Macaca fascicularis: one gene and its partners. The protein of the gene in region 5 interacts with the protein of the main gene of each other region in a pairwise test. Links are inferred from orthologs where the notes say so. Each region holds a gene or a part of one and is shown on either strand. Other genes may lie near its edges. The genes, in order: PKN1, LCP2, MYEF2, ZNF410, GOLGA2, TPX2 and NTAQ1.

What was found.
Region 1: the proteins of GOLGA2 (region 5) and PKN1 interact in binary tests that used the Homo sapiens proteins (3 or more experiments, as listed by UniProt). The two-hybrid records come from large-scale screens. The link is inferred for Macaca fascicularis from reciprocal best matches to the Homo sapiens genes GOLGA2 and PKN1.
Region 2: the proteins of GOLGA2 (region 5) and LCP2 interact in binary tests that used the Homo sapiens proteins (3 or more experiments, as listed by UniProt). The two-hybrid records come from large-scale screens. The link is inferred for Macaca fascicularis from reciprocal best matches to the Homo sapiens genes GOLGA2 and LCP2.
Region 3: the proteins of GOLGA2 (region 5) and MYEF2 interact in binary tests that used the Homo sapiens proteins (3 or more experiments, as listed by UniProt). The two-hybrid records come from large-scale screens. The link is inferred for Macaca fascicularis from reciprocal best matches to the Homo sapiens genes GOLGA2 and MYEF2.
Region 4: the proteins of GOLGA2 (region 5) and ZNF410 interact in binary tests that used the Homo sapiens proteins (3 or more experiments, as listed by UniProt). The two-hybrid records come from large-scale screens. The link is inferred for Macaca fascicularis from reciprocal best matches to the Homo sapiens genes GOLGA2 and ZNF410.
Region 6: the proteins of GOLGA2 (region 5) and TPX2 interact in binary tests that used the Homo sapiens proteins (3 or more experiments, as listed by UniProt). The two-hybrid records come from large-scale screens. The link is inferred for Macaca fascicularis from reciprocal best matches to the Homo sapiens genes GOLGA2 and TPX2.
Region 7: the proteins of GOLGA2 (region 5) and NTAQ1 interact in binary tests that used the Homo sapiens proteins (3 or more experiments, as listed by UniProt). The two-hybrid records come from large-scale screens. The link is inferred for Macaca fascicularis from reciprocal best matches to the Homo sapiens genes GOLGA2 and NTAQ1.

What each region holds. Positions count from the first base shown.
Region 1 is NC_088393.1:14,900,084-14,903,780, reverse strand, and holds part of PKN1 (serine/threonine-protein kinase N1), read right to left. Parts: intron 1,503-3,697; coding exon 1,423-1,502; intron 1,343-1,422; coding exon 1,267-1,342; intron 1,182-1,266; coding exon 1,090-1,181; intron 1-1,089. UniProt on the Homo sapiens protein: PKC-related serine/threonine-protein kinase involved in various processes such as regulation of the intermediate filaments of the actin cytoskeleton, cell migration, tumor cell invasion and transcription regulation.
Region 2 is NC_088380.1:177,056,554-177,059,996, forward strand, and holds part of LCP2 (lymphocyte cytosolic protein 2), read right to left. Parts: intron 2,583-3,443; coding exon 2,488-2,582; intron 1,878-2,487; coding exon 1,800-1,877; intron 251-1,799; coding exon 95-250; intron 1-94. UniProt on the Homo sapiens protein: Adapter protein primarily involved in signaling pathways within T-cells, as well as other immune cells such as platelets, mast cells, and natural killer (NK) cells.
Region 3 is NC_088381.1:24,644,795-24,648,491, reverse strand, and holds the end of MYEF2 (myelin expression factor 2), read left to right. Parts: exon of another isoform or gene 1-678; coding exon 679-842; 3' UTR 843-1,398; coding exon of another isoform or gene 1,399-1,721; 3' UTR 1,722-2,507; coding exon of another isoform or gene 2,508-2,609; 3' UTR 2,610-3,642; downstream 3,643-3,697. Other genes in the region: SLC24A5 (sodium/potassium/calcium exchanger 5), read right to left, coding at 1,399-1,721, 2,508-2,609. UniProt on the Homo sapiens protein: Transcriptional repressor of the myelin basic protein gene (MBP). Binds to the proximal MB1 element 5'-TTGTCC-3' of the MBP promoter. Its binding to MB1 and function are inhibited by PURA.
Region 4 is NC_088381.1:141,855,244-141,858,940, reverse strand, and holds part of ZNF410 (zinc finger protein 410), read right to left. Parts: exon of another isoform or gene 3,442-3,697; intron 1,091-3,441; exon of another isoform or gene 694-1,090; coding exon 568-693; intron 1-567. UniProt on the Homo sapiens protein: Transcription factor that binds to the sequence motif 5'-CATCCCATAATA-3', and is specifically required to silence expression of fetal hemoglobin in adult erythroid cells.
Region 5 is NC_088389.1:15,704,895-15,709,185, reverse strand, and holds the start of GOLGA2 (golgin subfamily A member 2), read right to left. Parts: upstream 2,843-4,291; coding exon 2,795-2,842; intron 1,033-2,794; coding exon 910-1,032; intron 1-909. UniProt on the Homo sapiens protein: Peripheral membrane component of the cis-Golgi stack that acts as a membrane skeleton that maintains the structure of the Golgi apparatus, and as a vesicle thether that facilitates vesicle fusion to the Golgi membrane.
Region 6 is NC_088384.1:87,827,342-87,831,569, reverse strand, and holds the start of TPX2 (targeting protein for Xklp2), read right to left. Parts: upstream 2,808-4,228; 5' UTR 2,750-2,807; exon of another isoform or gene 2,478-2,749; intron 2,447-2,477; exon of another isoform or gene 2,331-2,446; intron 346-2,330; 5' UTR 224-345; intron 1-223. UniProt on the Homo sapiens protein: Spindle assembly factor required for normal assembly of mitotic spindles. Required for normal assembly of microtubules during apoptosis. Required for chromatin and/or kinetochore dependent microtubule nucleation.
Region 7 is NC_088382.1:133,060,928-133,065,410, reverse strand, and holds the start of NTAQ1 (protein N-terminal glutamine amidohydrolase), read right to left. Parts: upstream 2,865-4,483; 5' UTR 2,821-2,864; coding exon 2,738-2,820; intron 1-2,737. UniProt on the Homo sapiens protein: Mediates the side-chain deamidation of N-terminal glutamine residues to glutamate, an important step in N-end rule pathway of protein degradation.

The DNA of each region.
Region 1 (3,697 bases), on a different chromosome or scaffold from region 5:
ACCTCGGCCTCCCAAAGTGCTGGGATTACAGGCGTAAGCCACAGTGCCTGGCAAAGAGGCTGAGGTTCTGAAGGGAGAAGTGACCTCCCCAGGATCTCCAAGCCCATGCTGCAGATGTGAGATTTGAACCCAGGATCCTGTCCCCAAAGCAGAGGCAGTATGTTTGCACCACGAAGGGCACAGGCTTCAGAACCTGAGTCTCTAGCTTTGAATCCTGGACCTGCTGCTTACTGGCTGTGTGACCTTGGGTAAATTGCTCAACCTCTCTGTGCCATCAGTATTTACCTTATAGGGCAACATGGAGGAACAAACGAATAACTTTTTTTTTTTTTTTTTTTTTTTTTTGAGACGGAGTCTCGCTCTGTCGCCCAGGCTGGAGTGCAGTGGCCAGATCTCAGCTCACTGCAAGCTCCGCCTCCCGGGTTCACGCCATTCTCCTGCCTCAGCCTCCCGAGTAGCTGGGACCACAGGCACCGCCACCTCGCCCGGCTAATTTTTTGTGTTTTTAGTAGAGACGGGGTTTCGCCGTGTTAGCCAGGATGGTCTTGATCTCCTGACCTTGTGATCCGCCCGTCTCGGCCTCCCAAAGTGCTGGGATTACAGGCTTGAGCCACCGCGCCCGGCCATGAATAACTTTTATAAGAACTATTATTATCTTGGTATTAGGCTAGTAGGTATTAGTGACTTATTTGTTCTGAGACAGGGTCTCACTGTGTTGCCCAGGCTGGAGTGCAGCGGTGTGATCTCAGCTCACTGCAACCTTGACCTACTGGGCTCAGGTGATCCTCCTATCTCAGCCTCATGAGTAGCTGGGGCTACAAGCACGTACCACCACACTCAGCTAATTATTTTGTATGTTTTGTAAAGATGGGGGTGTCGCCATGTTGCCCAGCCTGGTCTTGAAATTCTGAGCCCAAGTGATCCACCTGCCTCGGCCTCCCAGAGTGCTGGGGTTACAGGCGAGAGCCACCGTGCCTGGCATTAGTGACCACTATGAGTCACTCTCCCTGCAGCTCCAAGGAGAGAACTGCTCTGTCATTTCCCAAAAGAGAAGACAGAGGTCCCCAGAGGACCACGGCAGGTCCCCACCTCTCCACCTCGTCTCGGGCCACAATGTCCCCTTTCTTCAGAGCCTTGATGGCGAACAGCTCCCCACTGGGCCGGAATTCGGAGAGCAGCACCTGGAACCACAATGGGCAGGGGTGGCTTTAGTGGCCAGCCAGGGACCTGGGGGGGGGTCTCCCAATCCGCTGCCCTCCACCTCACCTTCCCAAAGTGACCCCGGCCCAGCACCGCCAGGAACTTGAAATCCTCAAGGGTCAGAGGCGACTTCCTCAGAGGGCTGTGGAGAGAGGCCACTGGTGAGGACAAGGACAGCAGGCAGGGGTGGGTGGTGGGCAGGGGGCCGGGGAGTGGTGTCACCTGCACAGGGCGGGGCCTGGGGTCTCCTGGGTCTCCGAAGGCAGCTTGGGAGTGATGGAGGATTCCTGGATCGGGGAGCTCTGTGGCGGAGAAGAGGCCAGAGTAAGGGGAGTCAGAGAGGCCCTCATAACCACAACAGCCTCTGAGGCCCTGCAAGATCTGCCCCCCACCTCTCTGTCCTCACCTCTCCTCCCATGCGGCCCCTCACTCACTCTCCTCCAGCCACACGCCTGCACCACCACGCCCGGCTAATTTTTGTACTTTCAGTAGAGATGGGGTTTCACCATGTTGGCCAGGCTGGTCTGGAACTCTTGACCTCAGGTGATCCACCCACCACGGCCTCCCAAAGTGCTGGGATTACAGACGTGAGCCACCACGCCCAGCCCGAATTTTCTTTTTTGTTTTTTTTTAGAGACACAGTCTTGCTCTGTCGCCCAGGATGGAGTGCAGTGGCACAGTCATAGCTTAGTGCAGCCTTCAACTCTACCTTCACCTCCTGAAGGTAGGGGGTGGGACTAAAGGCTTGCACCACCACACCCAGCTAATTTTTTTTTTTGAGACTGAGTTTCATTCTTGTTACCCAGGCTGGAGTACAATGGCACGATCTCCGTTCACTGCAACCTCCGCCTCCCGGGTTCAAGTGATTCTCCTACCTCAGTCTCCCAAAGAGCTGAGATTACAGGCATGCACCACCAAGCCAGGCTAATTTTTTATATTTTTAGTAGAGATGGGGTTTCTCCATGTTGGTCAGGGTGGTCTCGAACTCCCGACCTCAGGTGATCTACCCGCCTCAGCCTCCAAAGTGCTGGGATTACAGAATTGTTCAGCTTCCCGTGTAGCTGGGACTACAAGTCCCATCATGCCTGGCTCGACAATGTCCATTTTTAATTTTTTAATTTTTTTTAAAATTTTTTATTTTTTATTTTTTTTTGAGACAGTCTCGCTTTGTCGCCCAGGCTGGAGTGCAGTGGCGCAATCTCGGCTCACTGCAAGCTCCGCCGCCCGGGTTCACGCCATTCTCCTGCCTCAGCCTCCCGAGTAGCTGGGACTATAGGCGCCTGCCACCTCACCCGGCTAGTGTTTTTTTGTATTTCTTAGTAGAGACGGGGTTTCACCGTGTTAGCCAGGATGGTCTCGATCTCCCGACCTCGTGATCCGCCCGTCTCGGCCTCCCAAAGTGCTGGGATTACAGGCTTGAGCCACCGCGCCCGGCCAGCTTTCACTTTTTTTTTTTTTTTTTTTTTTGAGACGGAGTCTCACGCTGTTGCCCAGACTGGAGTGCAGTGGCGCGATCTTGGCTCACTGCAAGCTCCGCCTCCTGGGTTCACGCCATTCTCCTGCCTCAGCCTCCTGAGTAGCTAGGACTACAGGCGCCCGCCACCGCGCCCGGCTAATTTTTTTTTTGTATTTTTAGTAGAGACGGGGTTTCACTGTGGTCTCGATCTCCTGACCTTGTGATCCGCCCGCCTCGGCCTCCCAAAGTGCTGGGATTACAGGCTTGAGCCACTGCGCCCGGCCTTTTTTTTTTTTAAAGAGATGCAGTGGCTGGACGCAGTGGCTCACACCTATAATCCCAGCACTTTGGGAGGCTGAGGCGGGCAGATCACCTGAGGTCAGGAGTTCAAGACTAGCCTGGTCAACAAGGTGAAACCCCGTCTCTATTAAAAAGACAAAAATTAGCCAGGTGTGGTGGCGCACACTTGTAGTCCCAGCTACTCGCGTGGCTGAGGCAGGAGAATTCCTTGAACCCAGGAGGTGGAGGCTGCAGTAAGCCCAGATCACACTACTGCACTCCAGCCTGGGCAACAGAGTGAGACTCCATCTCAAAAAAAAAAAAAATGGAGTTTCACCATGTTGTTGAGGCTGGACTCCAACTCCGGGACTCAAGTCATCCTCCTGCCTCGGCCTCCCAAGTAGCTGGGACCACAGGTGAAGTGATTTTTACATTTTTAAATCGTTGGGGGAAAAAAAAAAGAGGAAGAATATTTCATTGCCCATGAAAGTTCAACGATGTTCAAACTTCCGTGTGAACTACCAATAAGGTTTTACCGGAATAGAGACACGCTTATGGTGTACAAATCGTCTGTGGCTGCTTTCAAACTACAAAGCAGACAGGGACTGTCTAGCCCACAAAGCCAAAAATATTGACTCTCTGGCCCTTTCCGGAAAATGCATGCTGACCTCTGACCTAGATAAAGACGAGGAACATTTCCATTACCCGGCAGGTCCCCTTGTGGCTCCCAGCTTGCGGTAACCTCTGCCTAGAGCACAGCAC
Region 2 (3,443 bases), on a different chromosome or scaffold from region 5:
CATACAGCATGGACTTCCAAAGATTGCTCCATGAAGGCATGCAGAGTGGCATAAAAAAAGACTTTGGGAAAATGTTGAAATTTGAAATCCTTACCTCTTTCCCTCGGAGTCCAGTTCCCAACAAGTAAACTTGACTTTCCTTCTGATAACGGATCTGGATGTTGTAAACTTTATCTTTGTACAACACCATGAGGACATATGGATTGGTTATTGTTTTTTTAGAGCTGTCTCTAACCAGAAATGTGCCATCCTAAAAAGATAAATTCCTGTTATTATGGGAGAGTAAAAGTCAATATTTTTGTTGCTTGCAAGAATAGTAGACCAGCCTCCAGGGATCTGACAAACATGTCAGTTGCACTTTGCAGCTTCTTGAGTGCAAAACCCGTCATTCAACGAACATTCAGTTCTCCACACAGCTACAGATCCCATGTGTCATGAGTTATTTTGTTGTTAAGAAAGGCAACAGAGATTGTATCAGAGAAATTTCCGAGTCAATCTCGTTAAAGTCTCTTATAAAAATGGAATCTTTTGTTCCCTAATAAATAATGGGTGGTTGAGTGGATAAAAGGCCAGGAGAAATAAAAAACTTTATTGGTTAACTCAAGATATATCTTCCTACTATTCCTGTGAGTTAATTCCCTAACCTTTCTCTTCCACATCCAAAGTCAGAAAAGACCCAAATGCCGTGAAATTCACCCTTCTTAAAACCTTGTGATCCCTAGATAGTCTTTCCTTCATCAGACACTTGAACAAAATTGAATGCAGATGTTCTCTTTTCTTTTCTTTTTTTCTGATATTTGCTAAACTACTGTTTTGATTGTCCTGTACTTTAAATTTCCATTCAATAAATTATTGCTACATAATATTAATGCTATAAAGATCTAATATTAAGATAGAATTAATTGGAAAGGACTCCTTTAAACTACTCCCTTCTCCTCATACCAAATCAGGATAGCTTTAAATAGCCATGAGTTGGCAATAATGGCTTTCCTTTGTTCGTTTTATTGCAAGTTAATTGAGCCTGTCAGAACATCTCTGCTAAACAAACATACTTCTGGATCAGTGATTCACAGTCTTGGCTTCAAATCAGAATTACCTGGGAAGTTTTGAAGACTCCAGAGCTGACACAGCACCCCAGAATAATTAGAATCTTAAGGCGAGACTCAGGAATCGGGATTTTTCAAAAGTTCTCCAGGTGATTTAAATGTGCAGCTACTACTGAGAACTACTGGTGTGGAGTTTAGATGTGAAAGATGAAAGAGTTTTGCTTTCCCATTTCCGATAAATAAATTTAAGGTAAAGTGTCGGCACTGGCTACGGGAGATATGTTCAAGACTTTATGTATTAAAGGACTAGCTAGAAACGTCTAGGGCAAAAAGCAAAAAGTTGCTGCCGTCTCTTTAATATCGGTCCTTTCACATCAACAAGGATGGCACATCTGTGTTAAGAGGAAGATAGAACTGGTACCATGTTGGAACTTTGGGGGAAGGAGAGCCTCCTTCTGACACCGTGTGATTCGTATGACAAGACAAACTCTTTCATTAATCAAATCTCCTAAGATTCTGCCAGCCAAATGACTGCCTTGAGATTCTTCTGCCAGCCTAATGATTCCCGAGCCTAGGAATCCCTGCTATGGGTGCTGATAGTTGTGAAGCTGGCACTAATGGGTCTCCTAGGTATCACAGTTAGCAACAGCACTTAGCAGAATTACTAGCCTGTAATGGGTACTCAGGACAAGTCAGTTCCCTTCTCTGCCATTAATATTTATAACTATGTTAAAATAAACTATAGCACAATACCTGGTTTATCTTTCTAAGAGCAGCTTCTGCCTCTGGTCGGGTAATATAAGAAACGTACCACTCTTCATTTAATGAATTCTGAAAATGTAAATTTTTAGAAACTGAATAAATTTTACAGTTACAGATGTAAGTGAAAAGAAAAGCTTCTGAGTAATCATTTCCATAAATCACCACCTCAATTCCAGGAGGTTTGAAACATTTGTTTTCTTAATTTGCATTCAGAGTCATTTAGCTGAGGCTAAATAGAAGACATTTTGTGTGAACTGCTTTTTATCATGACGCTGGTTGCAAAAATACCTGTGAATAAGTGTTCCTTACAGTATGGAACCTCTAATCAGGAAAGATGCAGATACAGTAATTTCTTCAGTTTAGCATAATAACCTGCTTGATAAAAAAACTGGTTTATCGAGCAGTTAAGTGATGAATCAAGGTCATAAACATAAAAAACAGGATTATTTTTCTTGCCATTTAATGCAAAACACACGTTTGCCATTGAAAGAGTCTGAAAGAATGCCAAGGAAAAAGAACATATTGTTCATCTGGATCTTCTCCTTTAACTTTTTTTCGAATAAATAAAATAAAACAAACGGAAGATAAAAGTATAGAAGAACATTCAGTGGGAGTTTCTGGTGATTCTTTTACCAGGGAAAAAGCAAACAAACAAAAATAAAAACATATACTTTCTTACCTCTTCTTCCGCGGGGGATGGGGGCCGAGGTTTGTTTGGAAGTGGCAAGGGGAAGTTTCTGCCTTCGGCTCTGATAGGTGCTCTGTTGCTAGGGCCTTCAAAAGTACAGAGTTCTGAAAGTTAATTTACTGTAAGCTATTGTTTACTGCTATCAAAACACATTCCCGCCCCCCCCCCCTCAAAATACCCTTGCGGTTGGTCCTACTGTTAGCATTTTAAGAAACCAGGGCTTCAAAAATAATTTTCTTCCGTTTGAAACCATGGAGGCTACTCAGGCATTATTCTGTAATCATGCCAGTAAAACTTTGAGAAGAGAACCTCAACTTGGAGTGATTTTCTAAATGTGCATGTTGCATAATATAAAGTGACTAGATCCCTTTACTAAAAAATTCACAATTGTTTTAATGAGTGTGAACATTAAAATGAATGCTCAAGAGACATATCTTTCATAGATTCTTATAATCTCAGCATAGGCAGAATGGATTCCCAACAGCTGATGTAGGGACAGGCAGTAATGAAGATAATTATGTTCTTAATATTTCCACAAAAAGAAATGTAAGTGACCCAAGAGAAGATGAAATTACCTTGAGAATATTGCTAGCTTTTAGAATCAAATATTGCTACCTGCTGTTCTAACTGAACAGGTAGAACTGTTCAACTCACATAGAAGGCTCTACAGATCAGGAAGTTTGTGTTGGGCACCTATTAATTACCCAGCGCTTATGTCTCATCTTCTCTAAAACTCTTTTTTCTCATTTACAATTCCTTGAAACTTTAGGAAAAAGTTTCCGAATCTCAGGAAAGGTTTAGTTGTGTTTGTTGCGGTTGCCCAGGGTATTTTCTGTGTGCCAGGCTGTGGTTAAAGACAGAAAAATTCTGTGAGTCGAATGTTCTCTTAATTATTCATCCATCATTCATTCATACCTTCAACAAATATGTATTCAGTACAACTCTGT
Region 3 (3,697 bases), on a different chromosome or scaffold from region 5:
AAGCTTCTCTGAGATTCTCCTTGACATCACTGTTTTTACCTTTATTGATTTAAATCTATGCTATCTTTTCCCGTGACTATTTCTGTAGCATATTTGGTGCCATTCTTAGACTTTGAGCTCAAATTGTGGTATTGAATAAATGGCTTTGGCACTGTGGTTGCAAGCAGAATTAGTGGGGCCCTTTGTAGCCTGATAGAAATTAGATTTCTGGTCAGTTGCACTTGTTTGCAGGGGATAAAGGAGTGAAATGAGGATAAAAGGGAAGGAAGAGAGAGAGATTAGGGAGACTGGGCAGTAAGCAACCATTTATTCTAAAAATAATTTTGTATAAATGTGTAAGTTTGTCATAGGGCATGGTGAGTTGGTGGCATTTTGTGCTAGCTTGACTTATTGCTTATACAGTTAACCTCAGGAATTAGGGATTTAACATAAATAAAATACATTAAATCCTAGGAAAATCTTTCCTGATTCCAATTTTGTATATTCTAATATGTATATATTTATTACTTTATATGAATTGTATTTTACTCCAAATATAATGCTTATATTATTTGTTATTTAAAAAAATGATGTTTTTAATCAAATTATCATAATTGGCTATGAGGAATTTCAAACCTATAAAGTGAAATAGAACTCATTTAATAACTGACTAGTAATTCTGTAACTTTTATTTTACAGGTCATGTAATGTTTGCAGAAATAAAAATGGAGAATGGAAAGTCAAAAGGCTGTGGGACAGTCAGATTTGACTCCCCAGAATCAGCAGAAAAAGCCTGCAGAATAATGAATGGCATAAAAATCAGTGGCAGAGAAATTGATGTCCGCTTGGATCGTAATGCATAATTTCAAGCCATGGTTGGAACATTCCTACATCTGTTTTGCTGAATCTCCTAGTAAAGTCATTTTTTTTTAAGTAATATTGTATGCTTACAAAAGCTGTAAAAATGAACTTTTAAAACTCCCACCAGCTTTTAACAGTATAATGTTAAAAATATACTGTAATTTTTGTTAATCTCAAGTTTGGGTTTTTAAAGACAGCAAGTCTGGTCATTCAGTTTAAATGAATGGTTATACTGTTTTTAATGAAATAAGCCATTTTCTTGTTGTTTTCAGTACTACATAGTTGGATTTGTTTGTTCTAGTTTCTCCAGTTTTTGTCAACTTATTGTATGGTAAAACAGATTTTTTGTGCCCCAAAACTTCTGTTTTATAATATGTAATTCTTCATGAAAAGAAAGGGCTCAGAAAAATTAGGATATGATTTTGGTTGGTTTTAAATTACTGTAAGTTTTAGATTCTAAGGTTCAGGATTTAAAAAATTTGATTTAAATGAAGAAATTGATTTTTCTCTCTGCCCCTCCCTGCCATTCATATTTTCTGCATAACACTGTTAATAATATCAACCTCCACAGCCCCTTATTTTATTATTTCCAATAATTCCAAGTTCATATAGAACTGATAATGTAGCAAGTCCCAAGTATGATAATAGGCAGACTATTCCCAACTTTCTGTCTAGTTTCCAGCCATTGAAGTGAACTGCTAAAAAAAGAAAAATAATTGAAACGTTGAGAGAGATGGTTGTGTAAGTTAGTCCTCTGCTGTTTACTTCTATAGGAGCTGATCCATTTATAAATGCAGTTTTAATAAACCATGGAATACCAAGGCACAACATATCAAACACATTGGATCCCACGATGTTAGACATAGCCATATCTCCTTTCCCTACAAAAGAAAAGCATATTGTTAAAATGTGCTTACCAATACTGTATTTTATTAATCTTCATAAGAAAAGAAACACTGGATACTTTTTTGTTGTTGATTCATTTTGGAAAATTGTTAGAGCAAAAGTCTTACTGAATTTGTATTTTTAAATTTTTCTTGGGTTAGTATTTAAAGTCTTAACATTTATTTAATTATATTTATTAAACCATTTTTCAATAAGGTATCTAGCTTACTTGTTGCTTTTCATTGTAATTTAACATGGTCCATTACTATTTAATGCACATTTCAAATGAATATTATTTGGGGGATTAGATTGTGTGAAATTAACCTGCTATTAAATAGTAAACTCTTCCTCTTGAGTCACTTTTTTTTTCCCCTTCAAAGTATGTTACTGAGGAAGTAAACTTTTTTTTTTTTTTTTTTTGAGACTGAGTCTTGCTCTGTTGCCCAGGCTGGAGTGCCGTGGCGCGATCTTGGCTCACTGCAACCTCCACCTCCTGGATTCAAACAATTCTCCTGCCTCAGCCTCCTGAGTAGCTGGGATTACAGGCGCATGCCACCATGCTGGGCTAATTTTTTAATTTTTAATAGAGATGGGGTTTTACCATGTTGGTCAGGCTGGTCTCAAACTCCTGACCTTGTGATCCACCCGCCTCGGCCTCCCAAAGTGTTGGGATTACAGGCGTGAGCCACCACACCCGGCCGGAAGTAAACATTTTTAAAGCTACTTTTACTCATTCTAGCCATGTAGAATGACCATTGCAGCTTAAGGGACTTAGTTCTTACCTTTTCTTGCGACCAACACGCTTGTAATTGTGTCTGGTATGCTTGTTCCTGCTGCTAATAAAGTAAGGCCCATTACTGTATCTGGAATTTCTAGTGTTTCCCCTGTAATAAACAGATACTTCAGGTTACAAATCTTAAAGAGTCACTAACCATCTTTTGCAGTTATTTTGGGTATTTCCTTCCTGAACAAAAATAAAATAGGCAGATTTAGAATTCAGAGCCAATATGTGCTTGCTTAGTTTTTTAGCTAGCAACATATTTGAATCAGGCTGGTAATTTGGGTAACCCAGGTAGCACAGATTTTTAATGACAATCTAAAGATGTATGTAACAGCCAAAATTCTGCCACTGAGAAATTTTCCTGTTTGATATTCTTACGGAAGATGTTTATGTCCACCATTATCTCATCAGGGCTGTGCTGAATATTTGCTAATGAGAGTGATCATTCCTGTTTTTCTTTCTTAAAAAATTTTATTAAATTAGAGTTAAGCAAATTAATTATAGCTATCTTTAAGCTATAAATGTGTTAACATGTATATATATCATTTATTACATTCTACTTTAGTGATATACCTTAATTTAGTGGGCTTTGGCAGGGTGGGGAGGGGGAACATTCATTAATCTCTCAGGAAAACAAAACCTGTTTGTTTTCTACTTGAGTCTAACATATGGTCCCAATTTATTAATACTTCTATTAAATTTGATGTCAGGTCAACATTGATCAGAAATGTATTTATTCTCAGAAACAGAACCAGAGAGAAGTTAAAAAAAGTTAAAACATATGTAACTGTTCTTTTAATGTTGTAATTGAAAACTTGGTTTAGCATCTTTTTTTCTTTTTCTTAAAATGCCAATTAAAATAACTTAATTAGAAAGTAGCTTATTTATTGCATGCTTACATATTGATACTGGAATTGGAATTGGTTAATTTCTATTACTGGCTTTGCTAGAATTCATACGTGCATAAATAACACTAATAGTTATAATCTTGGGGGGCTGTTCTGTGATCTATTACATGATTTTTGCTCTCTTTTTATTTTCCTAATATCAAGTGTGTTCTGGCTGAGTGAATTTGGATAGATATAATATGCAAGCTAATTGGACTTTTTCATTTTTCTCATTAAAAAAGGAAGAAATAATCTGCTTTTTGCTGGCATACTATTCTAAGACTTACACTAATTTGGGAAAAGT
Region 4 (3,697 bases), on a different chromosome or scaffold from region 5:
TGAAAACCCATCTCTACAAAAATGCAAAAATCAGCCAGGTGTGGTGGCACCTGCCTATAATCCCAGCTACTCAGGAGGCTGAGGCAGGCGAACTGCTTGAACCCAGGAGGCAGAAGTTGCAGTGAGTCGAGATGGCGCCACTGCACTCCAGCGTGGGTGACAGAGCGAGACTCCATCTAAAAAAATAAAAAAGCTTAAACTCTTGCCATGCAGAAATCTTTTATCACTGTGTTACTCAAATGCTGGTTCATGGATCAGCACTAGTTACCATCAAAATCACTAGGGGAACTTTTAAAACTACAGATTCTGGGATCTTGCAAATTATCTCATTTATCAGATTGCTTTGTTTTATTGGTGGGGGGAAAAGCAACAAAAAGTATACAAATTTTAAAAGGTTGCAGATGATTCTACTGTACAGCTATGTTTGGAAACCATCAGCCCATCAAATGAGACCAGGTCTATCTACCTAAAACAGAATCAGAAAATTTCCAGATAACCAGGCAAGACAGTGATTTGGCTCTTTGAACCCTAGAAGGTATAGCCCTCCACTCTGCCCACCCTCCTCACCAGTTTGCTCCTGCTCTTGACTCCCAGCTGCTCCCAGCTGCAAGTGATGCTTTCTCATATGCACATTCCTGCTTCCACTCTGAGAGAAGGTCTTCCCACAGACTTGGCACTGATGAGGCTTTTCTCCTGAAACAGGGACCAGGTTAAACAGGGAAGCCAACGGCCGGGCGCGGTGGCTCAAGCCTGTAATCCCAGCACTTTGGGAGGCCGAGACGGGTGGATCACGAGGTCAGGAGATCGAGACCATCCTGGCTAACACGGTGACACCCCGTCTCTACTAAGAAATACAAAAAAAAAAAAAAAAAACCAAACTAGCCGGGCGATGTGGCGGGCGCCTGTAGTCCCAGCTACTCGGGAGGCTGAGGCAGGAGAATGGCATAAACCTGGGAGGCGGAGCTTGCAGTGAGCTGAGATCCGGCCACTGCACTCCAGCCTGGGCAACAGAGCGAGACTCCGTCTCAAAAAAAAAAAAAAAAAAAAAAACAGGGAAGCCAAAAGGACAGGAAGAGAATGAACTCAAGACCTAGATGGAGAAACCCAAAGAATGTTAAACTCAACATAAGCAGCAGCTCCTTTTCCCATTCCCCACCTTCCCAGCCTCTCAAACTTCAGCATATGGGGGAAGGCAGGAAGAGTACACCAGGAGGGCTTTAGCACACTCCCTGCTCCCAGCCCCTGGTCCTTTCCAGACTCACTGTAATGCTGCCTTCACAAAACCTCTTTGGTATAGGACCATGGCAACCACAAAAAATAGGCCTTCTTTTTCAGATAGTCGTCCATGGACCTCTAGGATATGTGCTTTCCTCAAGGATTCCAATCCTGGGTTCCTAATATCCCCTTGACATATTCCCCGCCACCCTCTTTAGGGTCAACATTCACACTGGTGGCTCTTCTAACATAATAATCTAAATTGTCCTCTATGTCTTCAAGTCCCAGACTCTCCGTCTCCATTCTACCTACCCAGACAACCATACTTAGAGCAGAGGTCAAAAACTCCTGTCTATAGGGGACTGATAGGTAGCGAAAGTAAAATCGCCCAGTGGAGGCCACAGTAACCTAGAGAGTACCTAGAAAAGGGGCAGCTATTATTCAGCTCTAGCCAGCTGTTGCCATAGGTAGATTAAGGCCTAGCACAGCCAGGTTCTGATTTTTTTTTTAAATAAGGATTTTTAAGTAGAATCTCCCAATTTCTAAATGCTAGGAACAAATTCACAATTGATAAACACATGGTACAGCAATCTTCATTGCTGATTGTGTTTTGCTGGGAATGCAAAATACAAAAACCTCTTTGGGGGAATCTGACCACATCTAGAAAAACTGTAGATGCACTTGCCCTTTGACCTTGGAATCCCACTTCTAGGAATATATCCCAAAATTATAGTGGCAAAATGTGAAATACTCTATGCACAAGGTTATTCATCACTGCAACATTATTTTAAATGGCTAAATACTGGAAACAACGTAAATATTCATCACAGAGACTGACTAAAAAGCTATAGATACTGCAATAGTCCTGCATAGCAAAAAAAAAAAAAAAAAAGCTATACAATAGAAACAGGGTAGAATATTACAAACCTTAAAACTAAAAACTGAGTCACCATTTGAACCAGCAATCCCATTACTATCTACCCAAAGGAAAATAAACTGCTCTACTAAAAAGACACCTGCCCTCACATGTTCACTGCAGCACTATTCACAACAGCAAAGACATGGAATCAACCCAGGTGCCCATCAGTGGTAGATCAGATAAGGAAAATGTGGCACATACACACCATGGAATACTGTGCAGCCATAAAAAAGAATAAAATCATGTCCTCTGCAGCAACATGGATGCAGCTGGAGGCCATTATCCTAAGCAAATTAACATAGAAACAGAAAATCAAACACCACATGTTCTCAGTTGTAAGTGGGAGCTAAACACTGGGTACTTATGCACACAAAGATGGGAACAATAAACACTGGGGATTCCAAAAGCAGCTATGGGGCAAGGGCTGAAAAACTACCTATTGGGTATTATGTTCACTGCTTGGTCAACAGGATCATTAGTAGCCCAAATGCAATATACCCTTGTAACAAACCTGCACATGTACCCCCTGAATCTAAAATAAATAAAATAAATAAATTTATTTTGGCCAGGCGCAGTGGTTCACACATGTAATCCCAGCACTTTGGGAGGCCGCGCAGGCAGATTACTTGAGGTCAGGAGGTCAAGACCAGCCCGGCCTACATGGTGAAACCGCATCTCTACAAAAATTAGCTAGGCGTGGTGGTGGACGCATGTAATCCCAGCTGCTTCGGAGGTTGAGGCAGGAGAATTGCTGGAACCCAGGAGGTGGAAGTTGCAGTGAGCCAAGATCATGCCACGGCACTCCAGCCTGAGCCACGGAGCGAGACTCCGTCAAAAAAAAAAAAAAAAAAAAAGGCCAGGCGCGGTGGCTCACTCCTGTAATCCCAGCACTTTGGGAGGCCAAGGTCGGGGGATCACGAGGTCAGGAGATCGAGACCATCCTGGCTGACACGGTGAAACCCCATCTCTACTAAAAATACAAAAAATTAGCTGGGCATGGTGGCCGGCGCCTGTAGTCCCCAGCTATTTGGGAGGCTGACGCAGGAGAATGGCGTGAACTTGGGAGGTGGAGCTTGCAGTGCGCCAAGATCGCACCACTGCACTCCAGCCTGGGAGACAGCAAGACTCCGTCTCAAAAAAAAAGAAAAAAAAGAAAAAGTCATGAAATGTCCAGAACAGGCAAATCAATCCAGAGACAGAAAGCAGATTAATGGTTGCCAGGGGCTGGAGGAAGAGAGAAATGGGCAATGATACTTATAATGGGAATTCTTTTTCTTTTTTTAATCATCTCCTGGATATGGGGATCCTTTTTGGGATGATGAAATGTTGTGGAGTTGGACAGTAGAGAAAACTATAAAACTATGAATATATGAATATATAGTTGGCTATACACATCCACTGATTGAACCAAGCAGATAAAAAAAATTCAGAAAAAATAAAAATAAAAAATAACAGGCCAGGTGTGGTGGCTCATGCCTGTAATCCTAGTACTTTGGGAGGCCAAGGCAGGTAGATCACTTGAGGTCAGGAGTTCAAGACCTGGCCAACATGGTGAAACCCTGT
Region 5 (4,291 bases):
AAGGAGGAAGATGTGGGTTCAGGGAAACGAAATGCTGAAGAAGAGTGGAGGAGATCAATACCATGGCCTGTGCCATCCTTCCAAATGGCCACCTGCTGCCTTGCCGGGGGCAGAAACAAATAGATGGAAAAGTCCCCTGAAGGATGCAGTCACACAGAGTGGAGTCACCTGACCAATGCAGCTCTTAATACGCTCACTGGACCCTTCTCCTTAGGCCCAGGATGTGGGCAGTGAATCTAGCAGAGCTGCAGACCTCCACCTCCATTTTAAAAACCAGACTTCTGAGTAAGGGTTCACTTGAACGAAGGGGGCTCCAGCTAAAAAACAAGTTTGAGAGACACTGATCTTAACCAATGTCATCTTACAGAGGAGGAAACTGAGGCCCAGGGGAAGAAGTGGTTTTTCTGTGGTCATGCAGCAAGCTGGTGGCAAAGATGAACTCAAAAGTTAGATCTTCCCCTAATCCTAGTGCCTGGGGCTCTCCTCACCACACCCTGGGGCCCTTTCAATGACTCCTAAAGGGATAGCCTGATGGCCAGTGGCTGTTGTCATTGGCCTGGCTTCCCCTTGAGACTGGAGATGAGGAAAATGAAACAGCAACTACCATTTCCTGGGTGTCCTGGGTGTTTACAGCAGGCCCTGTACTAGGGATTAACATTAAAACAACAATAATAACAAATCTCATTTAAACTTCACAAGTGTAAGTAAAACAATACTTTACAGATGTGAAGAGAGAGGCCCAAAAAGCTCAAGCGATTTGCCCTAAATCACATCCCTAGCAGATGGACAGGTAGGATACACACCCAGAACTCTTAATCAGTACCCAACAGTTCTTCCACAATCATAACAATTACCCTCTACTGCCCCTTGGGCCCCCTGTCCCCAGGAGCCTAGCCAGCCAAGACTCACATCCTCAGGTGAGTGGCAACCACCAGAAGTGGTTGTCTCAGGGTTACTGCCATTTTTTATTTTCTTCTTCTTTTTCGCTCCTGTAGGAACACCAGGGCTGTTCCTCTGCTGATATTCTCTCAACTGTGGAAAAGAAGAGCAATAATACTCATGAGATCTACAAGCCCCTACAGTTACATCCTACTTTACAATTTTTCCGAAATACTCATATATACCATCTGATTTAACGCCACCAACAAGTCTACAAGGTCTTGTCACAATCACTTAGTGACTGAGAGGGACTGATACCATGGCTTAAAAAAATTTAAGAATTGAACTTAAACTCAGTCTTCTGACTCCAAGCTCTGGGGTTTTGCCACAAATCAGCAGCTGCCAGGGGCCAAAACCAGAGGCAGAGGTACCTTTCTACCTCTCATCCCAGAAACAGGATGAGAACACTTAGGGGACTGGGTCCTAAAATCAAAAGTCAGTTTCACACGCTAATTACGGTTCTGAGGGGGATTGCGACATCACTACATTCCACTCCGCTATGGAGAATTCAAATATGAGGTGGAAAAGTCAAGCCTGGAGTCCCAGCTACTTAGGAGGCTAAGGCAGGAGGATTACTTAAGGCCAGGAGTTCAAGGCCAGCCTGGGCAACATAGTGACATTCCGCCTCTCAAAATAAATATGTATCTTAAAATGTGGGCTGGAACATTAAGTCGGCAGGAACTGTACACTGTGTGGTTTAGAGTCATACATCCTCACACATTTGTTAATGTAAGAAATGCACCAATGCCTCTGAAACTTACATCAATGTATCCTCCTGGCAAAAGGCAGCCTTTCTGTTGAACCTGGGAATTCAACAGAAAGAGGACAACCCAAGCCTCATTTCAGAGAAAAGTCTGGTATACTCTTAGAAATTTATGTGACTGTCATCCCTAAGTACATTAATGTTTTTTTCTCAAGAGAATAAAGGGAAACTGATGCTTCAGAAAGATATTTATCCTGTGGCATTTCAAGTACCCTAGGCTGAGATGATATGAGGAAGATTCAAGCTGTCAAGTTCAGTTTCCCAAGACCTGTTCCACAGGAGATAAGCAGATCTCATTCCAGAGACCACTGAAGGGCACTCTGGTCCCAGAACCATGGATAATTCGAATATGAGGTGGAAGTCAGAAAAAAAATGTTAGTCTCTCTGGAGAGTAGAAGCCTGGGGGAAAATCAAACCAATCCCGTTCTCACATTGCCACCCAGAGATACTGCCAATGTTTTGAGCTCACGGGGGAAGTGTAGGCTTTTCACACTATCAGTGTCTATGTTAAGGGTGTAAGGCAGCCTGAAACCTCTCCCTCCTAGGTGCCATAGTCCCCAATCCCCTTCCAGCTGGAAATTTATGCTGTGACCAGAGGAACCAGAAGCGGGATGAGAACACTTAGGGGACTGGGTCCTAAGATCAAAGACTGGTCTCGCGCACTAATTACGGTTCCGAGGGGGGCTGTGACGTCACTACATTCCACTCCTAGGGGGGAACATCAGCGCGACGTCCGAGTCGCTGCTCTGCGATGGGGGAGGGGAGCGCAGGGCCAGGACCCAGGTCCTTGGAGACGCGAGCCCAAATCGCCCAGGGAGGTCCGGTTTGGGGCGGCAGGAGGTGAGGGCCAAGTCTGGAGCGGGGAGCCCCGGGAGTCACCAGCCCAAAGTCACCCGGGGGCGACTGGCGAGGGCGGGGGCTGGGCGGCTGAGGGGGCGGGGCTGGCTGACAAGACTTTTGTCGGGGGAGCCCAGAGGCGCTGGGGGGAGCCCAGCCCGGTGTGCCTCAGGAGTGGCAGGGACTCTGGCCGTGGTCCTGCCATCGGAATGGGGCTGGGGCTGGGCCAGGGGGCCGCGACCCGGTGCACTTTACCTTTTTCTTCGCTGCGGCCAATTTGCTCTGTCGGGTTTCTTCCGACATCGCGGGGCGGGGAGGGAGGCGGGGTTGGGGCCACATCAGCGCGATCCCGGCAACCACTGCGGAAGTCAGTCAGCCACCGCGCAGCTGTGCGACCGAGCCAGAGGAGGCGTAACCAGGGCGGTACTAGAGCGCAGAATAAGGGCGTGGCCTCAAAGATCAAAGCCCATTCGTCAATGAAAAAGATAAAGCGGAAAGGAGGCGTGGCCAGGCAGCGGCGTGGCCAGAGGGACCTGTGGCGTCACAACAAAAGCTGCGCACGCAACCGCTGTCCCCGCCCACTTCGGAGAGGGGCGGGGCCGGCTTTCCTTGGGTGCGCGCGCAGCTTGCTGTGCGACCATCAAGCTCCGGGTCAGTGTTCCTTGCCTCGCGCACCTGAGAGGCCGCTCTCCGACTCCCGCGCTGGACCCTCTTGCGCCACTGAACCCCCTGATCCGGGGGCCTCGGACCCCAGGGCTCAGGAGGTGGGCGAGGAACGGACTCCACAGTTTCTTTCCTGACTTCTTACAGCCCTGCCCCAGACTTTCCCTTTCCAGAAATCACCTCCAAAGACTCCCATCCAGTGCTTCAGACAACCCCCGCCTCAGAACGCCCCCTTCCTAGAGGGTCTCTACCCTGATCCTGGGAGCATATCTGTCCCCTTTCCAGATGGATCCAGTCCCAGGCGCTCCTACTTCCCAGCTGCTCCTCCTCCCGCATCCCCACAGTACCCCTGTCCTCACAGCGGACTGTGGGTCCAATCAGGCTTTCCCCTCGGATTCCTCTCCAGGACTGAACCAGGACTTACCCGAAGTTGCCGCGGGGCCTTCCGATCCCCTGTGAGTATTTCTTCCCCCACACCCCCCTTCCCATCCCCGACCCTCCCTCGTGCGCTCCCGGCCCTCCTCCCCATCCCAACCGCAGCCAATCCCCGCTTAGCCCTCTTCCATATCTTCTCCTAGCCGACTGAGAAACTCCAGGTCATTCCTCAATCCCTCCCCTTCCTTTCCTCAGGCCCGCCATTCTTGAAAGAAGTGCTATCCTGTCCTGTCCTAGGCTAACTCCTCTCCCTCCCCATCCTGTCTCCTGGCCCCTCAGATGCCTTTCACTCCAGTTCAGCACCAGCCATCTCTCCTCCTCTCTCGTTTCACCCCTCACCCAGCCCTGCCTTTAAACAAACCCACAGCTCCCCAATCAGGAAAATGCTTGGTGTTCACCCTGGCCACTCCTTTAGTTGCTAATAGTCTCTCCTCTTCTCTGGCAAGCCACCCCCAAAACGCAGCCTCCTCCTCCTCTCATCCCCCAGATGGAGTTGCCACTACCACTACCACCACTCTCAAGTTAGATTGTGAGGGCCAGGCACAGTGGCTCACTCTTGTAATCCCAGCACTTTGGGAGGCGGAGGCAGACGGATCGTTTGAGGTCAGGAGTTCAAGATCAGCCTCCCCATCATGGTGAAACCCTGTCTCTACT
Region 6 (4,228 bases), on a different chromosome or scaffold from region 5:
GGATCACTTTAGGTCAGGAGTTCAAGACCAGCCTGGCCAACATGGTGAAACCCCATCTCTACTAAAAATACAAAAATTAGGCTGGGCGCGGTGGCTCACGCCTGTAATCCTAGCACTTTGGGAGGCCAAGGCAGGCAGGAGATCAAGACCATCCTGGCTAACACAGTGAAACCCCGTCTCTACTAAACATACAAAAAAATTAGCCGGGTGTGGTGGCACGTGCCTGTAGTTCCAGCTACTTGAGAGGCTGAGGCAGGAGAATTGCTTGAACCTGGGAGACAGTGGTTGCAGTGAACCAAGACCACACCATCGCACTCCAGCCTAGGCAACAGAGAGAGACACCATCTCAAAAAAAAAACAAAAAACAAAAAACAAAAATTAGCCAGGTGAGGTGGCAGGTCCCTATAATCCCAACTATTCGAGAGGCTGAGGTAGGAAAATTGCTTAAACAGGGGAGGCAGAAGTTGCAGTGAGCTGAAATCTCAAAAAAAAAACTCTATATATAGTCAATTTTGCTTCCTAACTTTACTCATAGCAAAGAAAATTAAGTATGTCAAAGGGCATTTAACTCTCCCTCCTCTTTCTCCCAGGAATTCAAAGAGAATTAGGGAAGATAGGCCGGGCGCGGTGGCTCAAGCCTGTAATCCCAGTACTTTGGGAGGCCGAGGCGGGTGGATCACGAAGTCAGGAGATCGAGACCATCCTGGCTAACATGGTGAAACCCCGTCTCTACTAAAAAATACAAAAAACTAGCCGGGCGTGGTGGCAGGCGCCTGTAGTCCCAGCTACTCGGAGGCTGAGGCAGGAGAATGGCGTAAACCCGGGAGGCGGAGCTTGCAGTGAGCCGAGATCGTGCCACTGCACTCCAGCCTGGGTGACACAGCGAGACTCCGTCTCAAAAAAAAAAAAAAAAAAAAAAAAAGAATTAGGGAAGAGACCCAGAAAAAGCTGAAGGAAAATTAACCAACAGATGTAGACGAACTCTGAAAATCTGGTACCTAAACAAGAAATGAAGGACTCTCTCACATAATCCTGGACAATCTTAACTGCAATAAATTAATTTTATCAAGGTTGAAATACACAGATTTAAGCATAAGGTTAGCCAAATAAACCCTATTCAGCTAATTTGAAAGTCTAAACAAAATTACCAACCTAGTTGAGTACAATCCAGTTTTTCATACCCGCAATTTTGTAGTCAATTCAGATAGTGCCTTCCTGCCTAGTCAATTCAACAGGTATTTAGTGGGTGATTCCTATGTACCAGGATTGTTTCAGTCCCTGTCTAACCAAACTCTTGCTTATCAAGAATTAGGCAAGGGTGGCTTTGTGAAGCACAGAAACACAAACTGGCTCTTGATCTCCCTCACCTCTAAATTGTCCGGACACTTAGAATACAAAACAGTAGAGCACTCAGATGGTGTCCTGTCTTGTTCTGATTCTCACTTGCCAATTTCAAACCATGTTTTTGTCCCCAAACACACCAAAAAACCTTTGAGTTCATCACACATCTGTATACCCATATCTCATGCCAATCTGAGCACGCAGTACCCTCAAAGGACAACTAAATGGCTGAGTTAGCTGAGAGCCACATAATTTTGATCCAAGAATGCCAGCTTAATACTGAACTGACTCATCCATCCAACCAGGGGGACGGACTTAAGTCTGACGTGGGGGTGGTGTAATACACTAAGGCCACAATACAAGAACATCCTTATAGTCCTATTTTTGACAACATTTGATGAGTGAGAGAAATTCAAAGAGAGGCCATAGGATGTCAAGAAAAGGTAAGGGTGAACCAGGGAGTAAACCAAGAGCTGGTCTTAAAGCAAAATCTAGGAGTCAAAAATCCTTTTCTATCCTAAGTAGGCCTGATTTGGGGAAGTCCATGTTACTGAACTACCAGAAAATTATATGTGGAAAACAAGACGTTATATGTCAAGAAAATAGGGGGTAAACCAATTCTACAATATTATAACCTGGTTTGGTTTTCCTTCCCCCCTCCAATCTATAAATGTTGAGAAAGGAAATGAGAAAGGGAATAATATCTGGTGATTCCATACAAAAAGAGAGAGCTGGACAAATATGGATAACATATAATGAATTTTAAATCCCAAATAGAAGACAACTCCAAATGGACTTAAACTCTCCCTCAATTATGTTCTCACACCATCTAATCATCTTTCTGTTTTAGATAACAGTTTTGAAATGTCCTTATTTGTGACTACCTCTGTTTTCCTCCATCAAACGCCACACTTCCTGAGGGCAGGGCTACTGTATCACCCATTTCTCGAAATTTATCTAGATTCTGGCCCACAGTTTCCTCCTCCTACCTCCTTCCTCCGTTTCCGTCAAGAGGGACCAAGAATAGCACCAACTACATTGGCTTGGCGAGGAAATTAGATGAGAACGGGCACGCAGGGTACTTAGTTCAGTCAATGTTTATAACCTGTTAGCATGGTAATAATAATTATCGTTACCTTTATTAGACGATAGCCTCCCGCAACTCCTTTTCCCCCGTTTCCCGGACGGACTTCAGAGCAAAATCCTGTCGCCAAGAGAAGGGTGGCCCGAAGCCCCCGCTCGCACCCTGCCCCGCCTAGGCGGCGACCGAGCACCGCAACCGCCTCAGAAGCCAGGCCTACCCGCGCGAACTGCGCTAGGAGCTGGAAGGTGAACTTCAGCCATTCCAAACTCCGGGAGGAGGGAGACCCGCGCCCCAGCTGCTCCCTCTTTTCTTCCCGCGGCTCACCTAGCCTCTCCTCAGTTCTGACAACGAAGCGCCAGCCAACCCGCCGCGGGACTCATTCAGTATCGTTGAAATTTTGAACCCAGGCAGCCTAGTCGAATGCACCAATCAGAGCTCCAGGAAAGCAATTCCAGGCTCCCGATTGGCCCTACAGAGAGCAGCAATACCGGAAGTCAGAAGGCGGTACCAGCGAACAACGAGGCCGGGAGTTCCCGGGAAGTGTAGTCTCCTGCGCCTGCGTGAGTCCACTGGACCAGCCCTTAGGAGTAAATTACTACGAAGACCGGAGTGCTCTGCTCCAAACTCTTTGGGAAAGGTGGTACCAACTGAAGAGGTGGAAAGTCGACTTAGATCACAGAATGGCGCGCATCCTGGACATCCCCAGGCTTTCAGGGAAGAAAACTTTATTTTTAAAAATTATTCTTGTTATGGTTGTGCATTATCCCTTGAAGGTTCAGAGGAGTTCACTCGTCTTAACGTGGAGTCTCCTGCATGCAACATAGACTCGCCCGTAGCGTCCTTCCCAACCGTGCATGTGTCTTCTCAAACCTTTTACCCAGGCCCTTCCCTGATCTTGTTCGTTGGGTGCTTTATCCGGTTTTATTCCCAACTGCATTCCGGCTTTATGATCCCCATATGGTAAAAAGAAAACAAAGGCTCGGAGAAGTTGAACAAACATGTCCAAAATCATATAATAGATGGAGAAGACGGGATTCGAATGAAGAAGGTCTGTTCTTTTTATACATCACCGATAATTAATTAGAGGCCAGGCTTCGTGGCCCTCACCTGTAATCCCAGCTACTCAGGAGGCTAAAGCAGAAGGATCTATGAGACCAAGAGTTCCAGAACAGCGTAGATATCATAACGAGACCACCCCCACCATCTTAATTTTTTTTAATCAATTAGAAAATAGAAGCAACAAGCACAACAAAACAACCCCCTTCATAATACCAGCAAAAGCTAAAGATTCAAAACTTTAGCTCTAGGCTGGGCGCGGTGGCTCACGCATGTAATCCCAGCACTTTGGGAGGCCGAGATACGCAGATCATTTGAGGCGACGAGTTCAAGACCAGCCTGGCCAAAATGTTGAAACCCCCATCTCTACTAAAAATACAAAAATTAGCTGGGCGTGCTGGCGCGGGCCTGTAATCACAGCTACTTGGGAGGCTGAGGCAGGAGAATCACTTGAACCCGGGAGGTGGAGGTTGCAGTGAGCCAAGATTGCACCACTGCACTCCAGCCTGGGCGACAGAGCAAGACTCTTCTCAAAACAAAACAAAACAAAAAAGGTCGAGGCAATTCCAATGAAAGTCCCAGTGGGTTCTGTTCTGGAATTTGCCAAGTTAATTCTAAAGTTCCTATGGAAGAGCAAAAGCACAAGTAATGGCATCTTGAATTTTTTTTTTTTTTTTTTTTTTTTTTTTGAGACGGAGTCTCGCTCTGTCGCCCAGGCTGGAGTGCAGTGGCCGGATCTCAGCTCAC
Region 7 (4,483 bases), on a different chromosome or scaffold from region 5:
CTCCACAATTGTTTGAAAAACACAAAACAAGTCAGAATCAGAAATGCTCTGCCGACGACACAGTCCCAAACAAATACCAACTGCCACTATTATCATTAAGCAGGGTCTTGAAGCATAAGTAACATCTGGAAGCTAACATGACAGAAGCTAACAGAAGTAGACAGGAGGCACTCATTTCAAGTTTAAAAACCTGCAGGATGGCCAGGCATGGTGACTCATGCCTGTAATCCCAGAACTTTGGGAGGCCGAGGCGGGTGGATCACCTGAGGTCAGGAGTTTGAGACCAGCCCGGCCACTGTGGTGAAACCTCATCTCTACTAAAAATACAAAAATGAGCCGGGCATGGTGGTGGGTGCCTGTAGTCCCAGCTACTCGGGAGGCTGAGGCAGGAGAATGGCTTGAGCCTGGGAGGCAGAGGTTGCAGTGAGCCGAGATGGCACCACTGCACTCCAGCCTGGGTGATAGACTGAGACTCCGTCTCAAAAATAAAAAAACCCCACAAAGCTGCAGGAGCCAAAGTAGTGCAGTGCCCCCACCTGACATGTTCAGACAGGGTAGAGCACTGTTTCTCAGCAAAAGGCGATTTTGCCCCCCAAGCCCTACAGGACACTTAGCAATGTCTGGAGACATTTTTGGTTGTCACAACTAGAGCTAGGGTGCTAACAGCATCTAGTGGGTAGAGGCCAGGGACGCTGCTACATGTCCTGCAATACACAGGACAGCCCCCATAGCAAAGAATTATCATGCTCAAAATGTCAACTCGAACCTAGGCGGAGAAATCCTGCGGTAGAGTGGTCAACTCTTACCATTCTTCTACAAGACTGCTCTAACTCTGATACTCCAATTGTACCAGTCTCCTCACTGTTTCTATCATACAGCACAATTCCTTCTCAGAGCCTTTGTACCTGCTGTTCTCCCTGCTTAAATGACCATCCTCCAATAGATGCAAAGCTCTCACCCTCTTTTTTCAGATCTCTGTTCAAATATCACCTTATCAACAATGTCTTCTCAAAATATCCTAATAGAAAATAAGCCACCATCCTTTATCTTATTTTTCTCACAGCACTTAACACCACCCAAACATGGTTTACTTGTTTTTGTCTGCCTTTTTTTTTGAGATGGAATCTCGCTCTGTTTCCCAGGCTGGAGTGCAGTGGCATCGGCTCACAGGAATCTCCTCCTCCCGGGTTCAAGCGATTCTCCTGCCTCAGCTTCCCGAGTAGCTGGGATTACAGGCGTGTGCCACCACACCTGGCTAATTTTTGTATTTTTAGTAGAGGCAGCCTTTCTGCATGTTGGCCAGCCTGGTCTCAAACTCCTGGCCTCAAGTGATCCGCCCACCTCAGCCTCCCAAAGTGCTGGAATTACAGGCGTGAGCCATCGCACCGGACCTTATCTGCTTTTCTCTCATCAAAACACAAGAACCAAGGGATCCATGAGTGAATTTGTCGATCTTGTTCACTGCTGTATCTCCAGTGCCCAGAAGTGGGCCACATACTCCAAGTGCCTAATACACATTTATTGAATGAATGAATAAAACAATGGACATTAGGGAGGAGAACTAACGGGATTTAGAAGAGGCAGGACAGAAAAAGAGTGCAGCAGTTAAGATGCATGAACTTCAAAATCACGAAGATGTTCCAGTTTCAGCACCACCACTTGCTAGATGTGTGATTTGGGGGCACACAACAGCCTCTCTGTGGCTCACTCTTTTTATTAGTAAAATGAGGATAACGATAGTAAAAGAAGCTACTCATGGACATCGATGGAAGCACCTGCCACTGAGCCTGACATGCAATCAGGGCCGAACAAATGCTCGGTGGCATTGATTTAGTGACAAGCAGAAGGGGGAAGGGTAGTTTTAGATAGCACTGAGGGTTCCTGTGCAAGGACTAGAAGCTGGGGGAGAAACCATTACTCAGGAAAGAGTAGGCATGGGAATGAAAAAGGACCAAGGCAGGGGCGGTGCTTCAGCTGCAGAGGTGGCCTAGGACAGGGGTGCAGAGCATGGACTCCGGGGCCAGACTCTGCCTGTAAATCCCCACTCCTTCATTCACAAGTGATGTGGCCCTGCGCAAATTACTTGCAGCCCTCTGTGCTTCAGTGCTCTCATCTTTAAACTGGGGATAACAATACCTACCTCTTAGGGTTATTGTGATACTCAGTGATTTAGTTTACCTAAACCACCCAGAACAACGCGTGGCATATAGCAAGTGCTGTGTGAATGTAACCATTATTATAATGACAACATGGTTAAGATCATGGTTTCTGGTGCCAGAGAGCCCGAACTGGATTCCTGGCTGCTATTAGCTGGGTGACCTTGGGAAGTTATCCCAAACTCTCTGTGCTTCCATTCTCTTCCAAAATTAAAATGACCTTCGCCTCAGTCTGAAACCCCACATGCTTCAGCAGAGTAACTTCCAAAGGTTTTCAGAGCTCCACCCTTCCTAGCCCCGAAGCAGAGATCTGCTGAGCAAATCCAACCGACAAGCGCCAGGCACAGGTAATGCACTATCGACCCTAGGATTCCGGACGAATTCCCAACCCCATCCAACAGCCCACGCTCTACTCAAGAGACAAGAGCTGCCATTCCCGCTCCCTACTCCCGCAGAACTGTAGAACCCGCCGGTAGAGGCCGGGAGCGCCCCCGAGCAGGGGCCGGGAAGAGGCGGGGCCTGGTTGCAACTCGCGGCCCGGGAGCCTGGGAGACCCAGAGGCTGCGCCCGCGCCCCCTCACCAGTAGCAGCTGCTGTAGACACAGGCGTCCCGCGGGGGACTGGCCGGCTGGTAGTGGACGGCAGTGGGGCCATTACCCTCCATGGCCAGCTAGCTCGGCCAGCGCCGACGCCGGAGGAAGACCGACTGGACCACACGTAGGAAAGGGCGGGCGTGTAGCGGCCCGCGCGGGCTCTCAGGGCGGGGTGGGAGGAGCCCGGGGCGGCCGGGACAGTTTCCGGGCGGTGGGGCCAGGAGCGCGGTGGGCGGGGCTCGCAGCACGAGTTCTCAGCGCGGGAAGCCCGGGACGAAATGGGCAGAGCTCGGGCAAGCGGCGCCAGTTCCTGGGAAGGTGGAGCCCAAGCGAAGTGGGCGGGTCCGGGGTGGGGTGAGCGGCGAGAGCTCCCGGTGGGCGGAGCCCGGGACGAGGAGGACTGCGTGCTTCCGGGTAGGCGGAGCCCGGCTGGTGGGTGGAGCCCGGGGTGGGGCAGGACTGGAGGCTTGGGCTCTCGTGGGCGGAGTCAGGGGCGGGGCCCCGGTGAGGTTTGGGAGAAGAGGGGTCTTTGGCGGCGGCTTAGGGTGGAGCTAGGTTTGGGCTTGGAGTTGGGCCCTGAATAGCGCTTCGCTGTGAATCTCCCGGGGAGGCTCTTCCAACTTGGGGCTGAGCTTCTGCGCTGTGGAGAAGCCAGGTGAGACACTGAAATAACAGAGGTTTGGGTGTGAAAATCCACACTTCAGCACTCAGCCTGGAGTCCGCGGGAGCCCAGAGAAGAGGAGGGGAGTGGAGGTTAATTCCAATATGACCGCATCGAGGACGCTTTCCGAAAGGGATAGCACCCCAAATCTCACTCTATTGTAACTTAATCTTTTAAATTGGAAGACCTATATCTATTGGCTCGAAAAGATATATTAATTTCCTGATATAGTAAATTTGAAAAAAAAAGTTTAAAGAGTCCATATGGTATCCTTTTTGTGTTAATCATGTGTTTGTTCATTTACTGGCAGTCTGGAAGAAAAGACACCATATTGTTAAAATAGTATTTAGGGCCGGGCGCCGTGGCTCAGGCCTTTAATCCCAGCACTTGGTAAGGCCGAGGCGGGTGGATCACGAGGTCAGGAGTTCGAGACCAGCCTGGCCAAAATGGTGAAACTCCGTCTCTACTAAAAATACAAAAATTAGCTGGGCGTGGAGGCGCGCGCCTGTAGTCCCAGACACTCGGGAGGCTGAGGCAGGAGAATCGCTTGAACCCGGGAGGCGGAGGTTGCAGTAAGCCAAGATAGTGCCATTGCACTCCAGCCTGGTCGACAGAGCAAGACTCCGTCTCAAAAAAAGAAAAAAAATAGAATTTATCTATGGTGAATGAATAGTATTAATATCAGGGACTTTCAGTTTCAAGGACTTTACACTTTACAGTCTTCTGAATTGTTTCTATTTGCAATGAGGATAACTCGCTAATCAGGGTACTTCCCATTATAAAAACTGAGATGTTTACATTGATTTTAGCCATCCACAGTCTGATTTTCCAATCTCTTGAGTCCCAAAGCCGATAAATCCTAAAGACTTTGAGCCCAGTTCCTGTGTCAATTACCAATTTTATTGCCTCTCAGCTCCTAATACAAACTTCCACATAGCCTCTATGCTATATAGCAACTCTGTTAAACATTTCTCCTTTAGAGTGGGAAGCCCTATAAGCTAGAAGGAATTGGGGCCGTATCTTTAACCTCCTCAAACAAAACAATTACCAGCCAAGAATTTTGTATCCAGTGA